Nothobranchius furzeri: one gene and its partners. The protein of the gene in region 1 interacts with the protein of each later gene in a pairwise test. Links are inferred from orthologs where the notes say so. Each region holds a gene or a part of one and is shown in the gene's direction. Other genes may lie near its edges.

What was found.
Region 2: the proteins of sh3yl1 (region 1) and gfap interact in binary tests that used the Homo sapiens proteins (3 or more experiments, as listed by UniProt). The two-hybrid records come from large-scale screens. The link is inferred for Nothobranchius furzeri from reciprocal best matches to the Homo sapiens genes SH3YL1 and GFAP.
Region 3: the proteins of sh3yl1 (region 1) and sh3d19 interact in binary tests that used the Homo sapiens proteins (3 or more experiments, as listed by UniProt). The link is inferred for Nothobranchius furzeri from reciprocal best matches to the Homo sapiens genes SH3YL1 and SH3D19.

What each region holds. Positions count from the first base shown.
Region 1 is NC_091743.1:82,703,564-82,707,758, reverse strand, and holds the start of sh3yl1 (SH3 domain-containing YSC84-like protein 1), read left to right. Parts: upstream 1-1,235; 5' UTR 1,236-1,376; coding exon 1,377-1,377; intron 1,378-3,340; coding exon 3,341-3,451; intron 3,452-3,532; coding exon 3,533-3,646; intron 3,647-4,195.
Region 2 is NC_091745.1:10,095,642-10,100,125, forward strand, and holds the start of gfap (glial fibrillary acidic protein), read left to right. Parts: upstream 1-1,679; 5' UTR 1,680-1,696; coding exon 1,697-2,235; intron 2,236-3,548; coding exon 3,549-3,609; intron 3,610-3,703; coding exon 3,704-3,799; intron 3,800-3,881; coding exon 3,882-4,043; intron 4,044-4,484.
Region 3 is NC_091747.1:80,371,651-80,375,979, reverse strand, and holds the start of sh3d19 (SH3 domain-containing protein 19), read left to right. Parts: upstream 1-1,524; coding exon 1,525-1,566; intron 1,567-1,866; coding exon 1,867-1,942; intron 1,943-3,120; coding exon 3,121-3,164; intron 3,165-3,503; coding exon 3,504-3,542; intron 3,543-3,792; coding exon 3,793-3,892; intron 3,893-4,057; coding exon 4,058-4,117; intron 4,118-4,329. UniProt on the Homo sapiens protein: May play a role in regulating A disintegrin and metalloproteases (ADAMs) in the signaling of EGFR-ligand shedding. May be involved in suppression of Ras-induced cellular transformation and Ras-mediated activation of ELK1.

The sequences.
Region 1 (4,195 bases):
TGTTCTAAAGAAACGGATCAATGCGGGATGGGCTGAACCAGATGATGTACGTCTGCAGATTGCAAAGGATGGGTTTATTTGGACTGACAGGTTCTTCTAGCCTGGCCAGCCAGACTCTCTCTGTTTAATTCTGCACAGAGGCTGGCCAGGCTAAGGTTCTTCTGGTCTTAAACACATAAGAAACTCAAATATAACAAAAAGAAGCAAAGATGTGAATAAGAAAGAGATAAAACCATACACCAGAACCACAACGGGTCAAACACTCTACATATAGCTTCAACTACAAACTCAAACATAAACATATTACAGAGAATATAAGTACCTCAGACAGAAGAGATGCCAACTCGTCTGGACTGGTTCAAATATGTTCCTGAAGTTCTATAGTTAATTATGAGGTGGAGATCTTGAAAGGGGGGCCTTTTGGAACTGGTATACACTGGAGGACAATGTGGACTTGTGATAGACCAGCATACTCGGAGACCCGGGTTAGTCAGGTGGACTTCAGGAGTCAGAGAAGACTGGAAGATAAACAGGCTCTGATTTAGAAGACAATGGCCTACCAAGCGCTATATGGGGTCATCCCGGTCAAGAAAAGACCCAGCTTTTCAGAGAGCATGTCCCACCCTGGCTCTGCGTGTCTGTTTCTACACCATCACCCTGGTTCTGGAGTCTGGGTGGTCTCACATGAATGGAAACACATCAGAGAGACTGATGGCTGCGGTCAGATGTTTATCTAGGGAAGCTATTCAAGGAGAGGAGCTGGTAGAAATGATTAAAACATGGGAGTAAGGTCCTGAAAACTCACATCTTATTAGTTTACTGTTTTTCAGATTCGTTCAGGTACTAAACAGCTTTTAAATGACAGTAAAATATTAATTAATGTTGATAAAAGTTTCCTTAAAGTCGTATTTTAACAGTTTATTAAAGCTGTTTTAATGTTAGTTTAACACACAGTGAGTGTGTGTCGGTCTCTGTGATGGACGGGAGACCTGTCCAGAGTGTCCCCCACCGCTCAGCTGATGACTGCTGGAGATAGACACCGTGGACAGCCGCCTGCATCCCTACTGAGCATGAAGCGGTTCAGATAATGAATCGATTATAAAAGAAAGGTTGGGTGTGATCCGTGCGCCTGTCAGACTGAACTCAGGAAAAAACAACTCTGACAGGAACCCGCAAACAGACTCGGGAACGCGCCCAGCTGACAGAAAATCAACACTCCACCAGCTACGTGAGCATGCGCGCGCGGCACTTGTCAGCTTTACGTGCACACCTGTGGACAGTTGCGTGATTTCCGGCTGCTGTTGTCAGGTGAGGCGGAAGTGAAAAGCAGCGAGAAGCTCACCTGTCGGCAGGTAAACGACCACCGAAGAAAGAAAAGTAAGTTAAACCTGAAAGTGCGACACATTCAAACCTGAAGCTGGTTCTTTCTTTGTGTTCTGGTGGTTTCGCTCGGTGTCCGGTGGCTCTGATTTCAGGTTCCACCTGTTCTCCATTACACCTGCGAGTGTGGTCAGGCCTGCTGGAATAACTCACGTTAACCAGCAGAATGAACCTAAAGCAGGTGTGGGGAACCCTGGTCCATCGTGGGCCGCTATCCAGCATATTTTAATTTCAACCCAGCATCATCCCACCTGATTTCAATCAGCAGGTGATTAACAAGCTTCCGCGGAGCCTGAAAAGCTGCAGAACATGTGAATCAACCCCTGAATCAGAAGGGTTGGAGCAAAGACATGCAGGATACCGGCCCTCGAGGACCAGGGTTCCCCACTCCTGGCCCTAAAGTGTCAGAGTACACTGATTTAAGGGTGTTTAGGCCTAAATAACGAGGTTTGGGTTCTTTAAGGGGTCAGATGTTACTTTTCACACAGCAGGATGCACCTAGAACACCAGATCAGGCATAAAATGATTTGTATGTTTTATTTACTTATCATTTTTATTCGTAAATCGTTTAACAACAAACCCTTTACAGAATCGGCATCATGCTTCATGTCTGAAGGTGTAAAAAGGTCGTCCTGAGTTACAGGAGGGGGTTCTCCTGATTCAAGATGGCTGCTGCTGCTGCCCAGCATCAACAAACACCAACTATGTCAGGTGTAAACTCCCTCCCCCAGGGCCGGTATGTAGCATGTTTTCGTTAGACCTGCTACAACACACCTGGTTTAAATCAGCAGGCCTATCAGGCTTCTGCAGAGCTTGGTGAGCTACTGAGCAGGTAGATCAACCTTGTTGGAGCAGGGAAACGACTAAAACATGCTGAACACCGAGTCTCAAGGAAAGAAGTAGTCTACCACTGACCTACACAATGTTACTAGTGGAGTCATTTAACATGATTTCAAATCTGATGACAGATCCTCTGGATCATGAGATCCAACATTAGATCAGATCAGCTGGGCTCCATTCCTCTTGGACATGAAGACCCTTTCAATTCAAACTTAAACCGTATAATTTAGATTTCCTTTTTCAATAAGGTTAAATTTTGACACGCTCTGATATAAATCGATTACAAATGGCATAAAAACAAACTTAAACCAAGTCGGTGGTTTAGTGATGACAGCTGAATCCCCTTGTTCCTGTGGAGGACGTGGATGTGTCGCCGTGACAGGAATGTGCTACAGCAGCAGGTTGGATCATCTCTGCTCACTCACTCCCAAACCAACACTCAACTCTCCCATTCATCACAGGTTGTCTTTAAAACAGATTACAGACAGGAGAACGCCATGGTAACATTCAACAAATCAGCCATATTTATTATAGCTGATGCTAAGTTTTTTCAGGGAATTAAAATTGATATTTTGATTATTTTATTGTTAAAGAGCAAGTCACCCCCTACAAGAAACGTACTTCACTCCCACTTCATGTTTGAAAAATGCAACAAATGCTGTTGCTTGGCAGACCGAGAGGGCGGAGCCGCTAACAAATACAAACACACACAGGCTCACAATGGAATTATGACATCATAATATACCAGATGACATCATAGCATACCTCTTAGCCAATAGCGGTGGCAGGTTTAAATTCAAATACAGTGCAGAATTTTTCCCTGACGACGGTGCAACACTGACAGTTTTAGGCAGAATATTTGAATTTTAACCAAGATGCACTGAACTGCCAAATTATTGACTACACGTGCCTGTAGCATGATTAGACACTCGTTTATATAGTTTATCAGCAAAAAAAATGTGATTTGGGGGTGACTTGCTCTTTAATAAAGAGAACAAAGAACCCAAACATGAGTCACCCATCAGAATTAACACTTCTCCTCAATTTTATTTAGCTGTAGAGTCTTTGGGTCTCAGAGGTAAAGACAACTTTTAAACACAAACATGTTTCCTGGTTTCAGTGAGTAACCCCATCCCATCCAACCTGAAGTCTGAGGCCAAGAAAGCAGCCAAGATCTTAAGGGAATTCACCCAGATCACCAACAGGGTTGGCCCGGACAAACTCATCCCCCGTAAGGAGCTGTACTCTACTAACCGAGTAAACTTTGACCTCTTATAAACAATCTTTCAAAGGCAGACTTGTTCTGTTGTAGCTCATGTCATCGCAAAGGCTGAAGGTTTGGCCATCATCTCCGTCATCAAGGCTGGCTTCGTGCTGACGGCCAGAGGAGGCAGCGGGATCGTCATCGCCAGACTCCACGACAGACGTGAGTATGGCTGGACGCTGTGTGGAACGTACTCTCACTCAAACTTTGACTATGTTGCAACTATCAAGAAGGAAAAGGACACCTGTTAGCTGGTTTGTTTTGACCTACCATTATTCTTTCCACGTGCTTCCTCACCATTCGGCAAAGGAGAGGAAGTTGGCGTCCCTACCCTCAACTGTGATGAGATGGATTTTGTTTATCTGCGGGTGTACAGATGTTAACGGTATTGTATTTAGCCTTTAAAACATCGAGACTCGTGTGAGTCTTTGAGAAAAGGAGAAAGTTTTTCTTTTATTGTTCTTTACAAAATGCGAGCATGCACTAAAAGCAGATTGAACAAAATAATTCCAACAATTGCTTTAATTATGTAGAGTTTTGTGGTAGTTTAGAGCTGAAATATGAATATTAATGACATCCATAATTACGCAGGCTTGACATCTGGTCTGGGTTTGAGTTGTCGTCTTGTTGCCTCCTCATTTTCTGGTTTATTTTTTATTTATTTTTTTATCTTTTGTGATCATCACTGTTATCTCATTTGTGACCTTTAAC
Region 2 (4,484 bases), on another chromosome or scaffold:
TGGGGTGTTTAGTCATACTTCAGTAAGAACTGTTCTCTCCCAGGTGGTTGACCTGCAGGTCAAAGGTTGAAATTTGAGAAACTGTTGCTTAAAGGAAACAAAGGTTTGAAAATGTTGGACCAAAAACTGTGAAATAATACAAAGATCTATTTCCTCAGTTATTTATATTTATCATCAACAATTTCTACAGCATTAAAAAAAATAAAGACGATAAAGATTATAGGCTAAAGGGAATTTATTTTCCCCCCTTCTCTGGCAGCTGTTCATCACTTCACCTGCTTCCTGGCCTCATTAGGTAACATTGTTGCACTGAGGGACCCTTCTGGCCACTTACAGAAGAAAGCAGGTCACATTCTCTTCTTCCTGCTCGACTTTAGACGAAGAAAAAGTCAAGAGAAGATTTGCTGAAGTGCTCTGATGTAGCCGGCCCAGCGGTTGTCAAGGTAATGAGTCAAAAGGGTTTTGTAATGCAGCCTCCGTTTGTCATTCTGAAGTTCAGATTAGGTTTGCACTCACCGAACCCCCCCCCCCCCCGTCCTTCTTGTATTCATCGTCGTGCTCCTCTTCATCTACTCCGTCTATCTGTCTCTCCAAGCAGCCGGATGTCAAATAACCTGAAACTAGTTCACAATCATCAGAATCAAAATCTTGTAACTCCTTTTCTTCTTCTACAGCGGTTTGCATCCTCCACGATGATGACAGGATGAATGCTATCATTACCCACAAATGCTGAAAGGATGAATTCATGTATTACTCTACTGTGAAATGAGAAGGTAGCTTTATATAACTGATGATTATTTATCAGACCAGTGATTAAATCCTTTCTGAGAAATGTTAGCTCTGGTCCATGAACTATTTGATTGGCTTCTGCGTGGATCCATAACCAGTTCGAATTAAATCTTTATTTAATTTGTTACCAACAGCCTCGCAAACACTGAAAGCTTGAGCCACAGATGATCAGCAGGGTCTCTCATGTCAGACCTTTGCTGATTTGTCTTCCTGTTTATCTTTAAATAAAACTTTCAGAATGTGTTCATTTATTGTCTCCTCCTATACTTCCTTCATTTTAAGCATTGCAGATATGGATGCAGGACGGAAAACCTGTAACTCTAAAAATGAATCCAATGTTTTAAATTATTCTCGAGTTTATTAGCAGTTATGTCGTTACGTAACTAGATCCCAACAGGAATCGGGAGGAATGTTGATAGTTCAGTCCTACATCTTGTTTATTTAGAGCTCAAAGCATGCTGTGAGCATGTGATTTTATCTTCTGTCTTTATTGCCGACCTCCCCAACATGCTCTTCTGTTTGGACCGGTCCTCCTGCCGCGGCTGCGAGAGTGTGTGTGGTCAGGTTGAATTTGTGGCCAGACTCTGTTGCACAAAATTCCTTTTCATTCGCTTGGAACAGAAAGAAAGAGGGCGAACAAAAACGGGGCGAACGTAAGCGTGAAAGAGTGAGCCCAAGGGGAGAAAAGGGGGAGACGAGAGGGTAAAAAAAAAAATCCAGGAGACATTTGTAGTTGAGTGGAGGAGCACAGACAATCCCTGGCGCATGTAAACCTCCCCTTTGCCATCTCTTTTTGTTCCATTCACTGCCTGCCACCCTCCTCTCTCACTGCCCCAGCCTGTGGCCTCTCTGCTGGACTTGGGGTGGGGGGGTTTCTCCCTATATAAAAGCCCTGTTTGTCCCCTGAATGAGCTTATTCCCTATCATGGACAGCCTTAGAGCACAGTCCTCATACAGGAGACGTTTTGGGCCGCAGAGCTCAAGCAGCTCAGGAGGTAAAATAGGTGGACTATCTTCCCACCGCCTCTCCTGGCATGGCGCCCCTCGAAGCATCACCCACTCCAGCCCCGTCTCCCGGGTCTCCCTGGGCTCCTCCAGCACGGCCTTGCTGCTGGGCAGCCCCGTTGACCGGCTGGACTTCTCAGCTGACTCCTTGTTGAAGGCCCAGTACAAAGAAACTCGTACCAACGAGAAGATGGAGATGATGGGCCTGAACGACCGCTTTGCCAGCTACATAGAGAAGGTGCGGCTTTTGGAGCAGCAGAACAAAGTTCTGGTGGCAGAACTGAACCAGCTGAAGGGGAAGGAGCCTAGCCGCCTGGGGGACATCTACCAGATGGAGCTGAGAGATCTACGACGGCAGGTGGACGATCTCACCAATGGCAAGGCTCGTCTGGAGATAGAGAGGGACAACCTGTCTGCAGACCTGGGCACGCTCAAGCAGAGGTAGGAGAGAACGGTCCCAAAGTAGACCTGGGCCTTTGTGTGTCTTGTGTGCTCGCTGTCCTATTGATGCTTCACAGAAATAATGATGGGATTAAAACTTTTCCCCTAGTCTTTTCTTCCCATCAGCTTATAAATCCAGGAGAAAACCGGAACAGCCCCCAAAAAAGTCTCAGTGCTTCAAACTACATAAAGAGGAGTAATTTGACCTTGTGAAGAATGTTTTTGTTAATTCCTGTAAATACACCTGTCATGTCTGTATTTACGTAGCGCTTCTGTTTACATGTGTTTGTGGTTGGTTGGAATGCAGAGCGCTGTGGTCTGCCTGGGCTTTACTCCTCTATCCCTCTTTACAAACGTGATCCTGACTGAACCCTCGCTGCCATTCAGTCAGTGTGGAGGAATGAAGCAGCACAATGGTGGCGCTCCACAAAGGGAACAGAATGCCAGGCAGATGTAGCTTTCCTCTCTTTCTCCAAAGCACAAAGTCACCACCGCTGGTTATCCGGCTCCTTTTCTCCACATCCACCATCACGCCTCATGTCAGCTTTTTCATTTTGAGACAGGCCAATAGAAAGTCTCAGGGTGGAAACTGGAGGGTTTTTTTTTTTTTTGCCCTCTGACCAAGCAGCTGCTGGTCCTGTGAGAGATTGCAGGATGAATAGGGATGCTGCTGCTTCAGGGGTTAAAGGTCACCTTTTTTAAAATTCGTGCTGCTCTTTCTGTTAGCAACCTCTGCATGAAGCTGCATGATGTCACTCTACGTTTCATTTGCTTCTAGTGGGTAGGATCAGTCTGTGTGCTGCGCTGACACGGATTCTCTCTCTCTCTGTGTGTGTGTGTGTGTGTGTGTGTGTGTGTGTGTGTGTGTGTGTGTGTGTGTGTTCCATCCCGTGGGAAAGGTCTCCTCCGGCTGTTAGATTAGACTGGAAGTGTAATGATGCGTAAGCCGCTGCTCTTTCAGCTGAGTCCTGCCACTCCTCTGCAGCTCAGTAGAAGACAAAACAAAAATCTGAACACATTTTTAAAATACGTTTAATTTTTCTTAATTAAACTTTAGCTAACTAAACTTTGCGCAGGAGTTTGTTTTTTCTGACCCAAGGACCCCAGACATTGTGCTCTCATTTGTGATATATATATATATATATATATATATATATATATATATATATATATATATATATATATATATATATATATATATATATATATATACATATATACATATCAAATGTTTCAGAAATATTTTAGTGTAATTTAATTCCTCCTGGCTGGGAACTCTCAGTAAGAAGCTCTTCACATTTTTCTTGACTCAGGCTGCAGGATGAAATGGGCCTCCGACAGGAAGCAGAGAACAGCTTGAACGCCTTCAGACAGGTGGAAATATTAGTAATATTAAAAAATCTTTAAAATATTGACAATCTCAATGTTGTTTGCTGTCATCCTGCGATGTTTCTCATTATTCACACAGGATGTGGATGAAGCAGCGCTCAGTCGGGTCCAGTTGGAGAGAAAGATCGAGGCCCTGCAGGATGAAATTAATTTCCTGAAGAAAATTCATGAAGAAGTATGAAGAAACGCTGAAGTTGGTCCAAAACAACTAGACAGATTTTAGCAAAATCACGACTTTTGCCACGTTTTTCTTCCAGGAGCTGCGTGAGCTGCAGGAGCAGATCATGGCCCAACAGGTCCACGTTGACGTGGATGTGTCAAAACCAGATTTAACTGCTGCTCTGAGAGACATCAGAGTTCAGTACGAGAATATGGCCACTTCAAACCTGCAGGAGACAGAGGACTGGTACCGATCCAAGGTCAAATATTTTACTTTTAAAGGAGGGATTTACTCATTTATTCAATACTTGTGCAGTGTTCTTTAGTGTAATTCAATGCCTTATGAGCCATAAAAAAAAATAAAGCTATGATGCTCCTGTTATGAGATGCAGATGTTTTCTGGTGCAGAGATGGACTGAAAACAGTAGAATTACTCATTACTATTATTGAATTGCACACGTCTTGCTTCTGATTGGCTAACAGAACATGTTCAGCCATGTCACTGTCACCAAAACACCCTCCGCTCGCTCTCCCTGCTGCAAAAAAAACAAGCCTTCCTGTGGACGGGCGCTTGCCAAGATGGGCGAGACCATGAATGCAAATTCATAGTGTGACATAGATGTGTGAGGATTTTAAAATCCTAGAGTTTCACCATCTATTTTCTATCAGAAGGTAATGCAGGAGATAGGTGTAGGAGACTA
Region 3 (4,329 bases), on another chromosome or scaffold:
GTTTTCAATCATCTTCTGCCTAAAAGGAATTATGCACCCACACATATGATACATCCTGCTTGGTCCCAGGAGTCTTGTATTAACTTAATATTGTGTTCCGCGTGACCATGGCAACGTGCTTAGCAACAACAATTAATAACATTTTAGACACAACTGTAACAAATGTTATTCAAAGTTTAAAAGAGTCATGTGACATTGTACATTGCTTTATTAAAGCAGACTCCTGTCATCTGTTACCATGGCAACACAAGGAACTACTAATCACTTTAACCAAGTCTCATAGGAATGAATATAAAAAGCTGAATATTGAGCCATTAACAGACTCCTGTTTTTGATCTTTTTGAACTGTCTGTACTTAAAACTAGAAACAAGTTCAATTTGATTGGCCATCATAAGGTGGGAAAGTGCCCCACTCCCTTCCAGCTCCCTGATTGGTTGAGAGAGGTCTGTCATCTTCTGGCTAAATGGAATTACACACCCATGCATGTGATACATCAAATCGATTGGCTTGGCCTAAGGAATCCATCCATCCACATATAAATCCATACATGCTTCCAACCATCCATCCATCCATCCATCCATCCATCCATCCATCCAATAAACCATCTAACATCCATCCAACAATCCATTTGTTATTTCATTCATCCAACCATTCATCCATCCCATATCAAATCTGAACACATGTTAATCTATCAGTTTCAGATATCAGCAAATATTTCTAAATTCACAGTTCAGCCAATTGTAAAAATGTACCCGTTAAACTATTCTCATTCAAATGCCAGCTGTTTAACGTTTCAAATTTTGAGTTTTTAATAAATGTTCAAAGATTAAAGTTTTCTGCTGTTTAGCATTTTTTTATCCATTCTTCACCTATATTCTGAGCTTTATTACACTTGTTGGTGATTTTTGCTTCTAAATCTTGAAATACATTCAGCTCATTTTGACAGTTTAGCTTTGTTTCAGCTTCAGTTCAGCTGTTCAACAGCTTCAGCAATCAGTTTCTGAATTCAGCATATGATGCTAATTTCACAGTTCAGCTAAATGTAAAAATTAAACTGTTAAACTAGTGCTACTGAAATAACAGGTGTTTAGACGTTTTAGCTGTCCAGTTTTTTAAACAATGTTCAGAGATTTCAGTTTTCTGCTGTTTAGGATTGTTTTCTTGATTCTTCACTTACTTTTTGTGCTTTATTTGCTTCTTGGTGCTTTTTGCTTTCACATATTTCACTACATTCAGCTCATTTACCAGTGTAGCTTAGTTTCAGCTTCAGTTCAGCTGTTCAACAACTTCAACAATCAGTTACCAAATTTAGCATGAGCTGCTAATTTCACAGTTCAGCTAAATGCAAAGATTAAACTGTTAAACGTGTACAACTGAAATAACAGGTGTTTAGACCTCGACAGACTGGTACATCACCTGCATCACTGCAGATGCAGCACCAATCGACCTGTCGATCTCACATCTCCAGCTTTCCCTCACTCGTGAACAAGACCCCGAGATACTTAAACTCCTCCACTTGAGGCATGACCTCGTCTCTGACCTCTTTAAAAACGCTGGTCCAAGCAGTGAAGTCGTGTGACTTAATGACTTTGTCCTTTTGCAATTCAAGCTGTTGCTTTAATAATTACTCATCATGTCTAAAACAACAAAGGACGAGACTTAACCTGAACAGTGACGAAGCAGCGCTGATACTTCCTGAACAGCCACATTCCAGCTCCTCAGATTGGTCGAGTAAGCACAAGAGGAGAGAAATGTAATAAGGCCGTCCCTTTTTTCTTTGTGTGTGTGTGTGTGTGTGTGTGTGGGGGGTGGGGTGGGGGGGGTTGTTACAGCTGCTTTCAGGTTTTTGTTAATCACACTTAAAGGAGCCACGAGGAAGAGCTCTTGAAGGGAACAAGGTTTACCCACCATGGATTTTCTTATCTTCAAACTTCTACACAGGTAGGAGATGGGAGAGTTTTATCGGTATGGTGTTGGAGTCGGGGTTGAATGTTAGCTCTGATCAGGCTGCAGCTGATCACACAAGTCTGCTTGTTTTTATCAGACTGTGTGTGTACAGGAAAAGGGTTTCACGTGTCAAATCTCATCAAAGGTGGTCAAAACAGGGCTCTTGTGTCAGCTCTGGCCTAAACAAGCTGTTAAACTTTAACCAGCAGAACCATCGCTCTAACAGGCAACAGGTGTGACAGGTGGATTTCTGACGTCATCGTTTCAGGCTGCAGGTAGAAACAACAATGCTGCTTTGATCTCCCAGTATTCCATAAAAATGTGAAGACCCTCAAATCCATGTTGGACATAGATTATTAGTCACTTTGCTTCTTTTGATTATAATACAAGGAAATCAGGTCACTGCCAAATATTCCATGAAATAATGTGAATGTACAGAATGTGTTTCAAATCCTCCTTGAAAGTCATCTGACTGGTTGGTCCTGCTGGTTTCTGAGCTGCTGTTGACGTTCTGGTTTGGACTGGAAGCAGTCCGGTAGAATGGGTTGTGACCGAAACCAGCTGCTGCTGGGTGTTGGTTTTAGTTGCACCCTTAGAAAGTACCTGATGTGTGTGATAGAGCTTTGGTCACTGATTTCAATAATGAGTGATGAATTTGACTCAAAAGTTGTGTTGAAACCATAAAAAGTCACATCCTCTGAGAGTCAGAGTTGGAATTTAAAGCTTGTCATATTTGCGTTGTGTATTCTGGGGGAACCTGCAGCTCATCTGAAGAGGCTAGTGGCATGCATCTGTCTCAGTTTTAGATTTAAAGTAACTCCAGGAAAAAGGTGGTTCAGCAGTCTAAATCTTTGCTAAGGGTGCATGGGATTTCTGCTGCAGAATGACAGAATTATATGAGGTTGGGCTGACTGAGTCAGCTTTATTCAGCTGACTCCTAAACCTGTAAGTTACTGAGGACCTGTGTGATTTCAGCACCATAAATAGATAAATCTGCTTGAGAAATCTGTTTCAGTTAATGGTGTGTTAGCTAACACTAGCATGTTTACGGCTGTTTTCTGGGTGATTTCATTCCAACTCTTCAGGGAAATGAACATTTATTTTCACTAAACTAAAAATAATTCCAATTCAGATGGATCAGAGGGGTTCTGGGTCTGTTTTTCTGCCATTAGGACAGGTGGTTGAGCAGAACCTGTCCAAGGACGGCTCGGAGACGGTTTCTTTGTCCTGCAGAAATGCCTGAAGCTGTAATCCAGAGAGGTCAAAAGGACAGTTTAGAGTAAATAAAGTAGGGCTGGAAATGCAACATGTCAGTTCCCATATGTATTCATTGTATGTTTATTTATTTTTATTTTAGAAGTTTCCAGATTTTCTTATTGAAACAAGGCAAATGAGTTGAAACCACCACAACCATTCTTCATCATATTTAACAGAAACCTTGCTCAGCAGACACAACCCAGGAAGTCATGCTGAAACTCTGACTTTAAAAGTGAAATGAAGCCTTAATAATAATTTTGTTGAAAAAACTGCTTTTCTTTTTATTTTCTCCTTGCAGATGTTCCTGAAAAACCTTCAGACTACCTTTAGACTTCAGGTAAGAGCTTTCGCCTTCTCTTTGTCACAGAACAGCACCATTATTGCATTTACACTGTTTTCATTCATGTTTCCCAATCCTTGTAAATACTCTGCTGCCATTTTTTAAACCACACAGTATTTTCATATTTCAATTGATAGGTAATTATTAATTTACCCCATATTACCTTAAAGGACGACACACACACAGAGAGAGAGAGAGTAGATTGATTATTCGTAATGTCCATGAGCGCAAATCAACGTGCGAGAAGCTGGATGCAGAAATCCCCTCCATGGAGCTAACCAGCCCCCACTCTGCTCCAGCCTCAGCTCACCAGCTCTGCATGCCCACATCCTCCACCAAAATATTAGGTAATCAAATGTGGGGTAATATTTAATCTCCATACCCCTGGAACCTGAAATAAACACACATGACAAAAAGGGAGATATATTACCCTGAGTCCCCAAAATAATGGAGAGTTAATGCAGAGGAACCCCCTCCGAGGCTGACCCCACGTCACTCCCCTGTGTCCTCAGTTTCCCAGTGGCTTTATTCAGCAAAGGATGGAGAAGGCGGGGCCTTCTCAGGTTACAGAGGTACAGAGTCCCATCACCCCCCCCCCCCCCACACACACACAAAGGAAGATTCACAAACCAAGCAAAATGAACATTTAATAAAAATGCCTAACATCAATGTTTTTGATTTTATTTTTATGGAGACACATCATGCAAAACTCACTTTTTACGTGTGCTGTCACGTGGGTTTCTGCCTCTATAAATGCTCTAAATGTGAAAACATCTGTCTATCC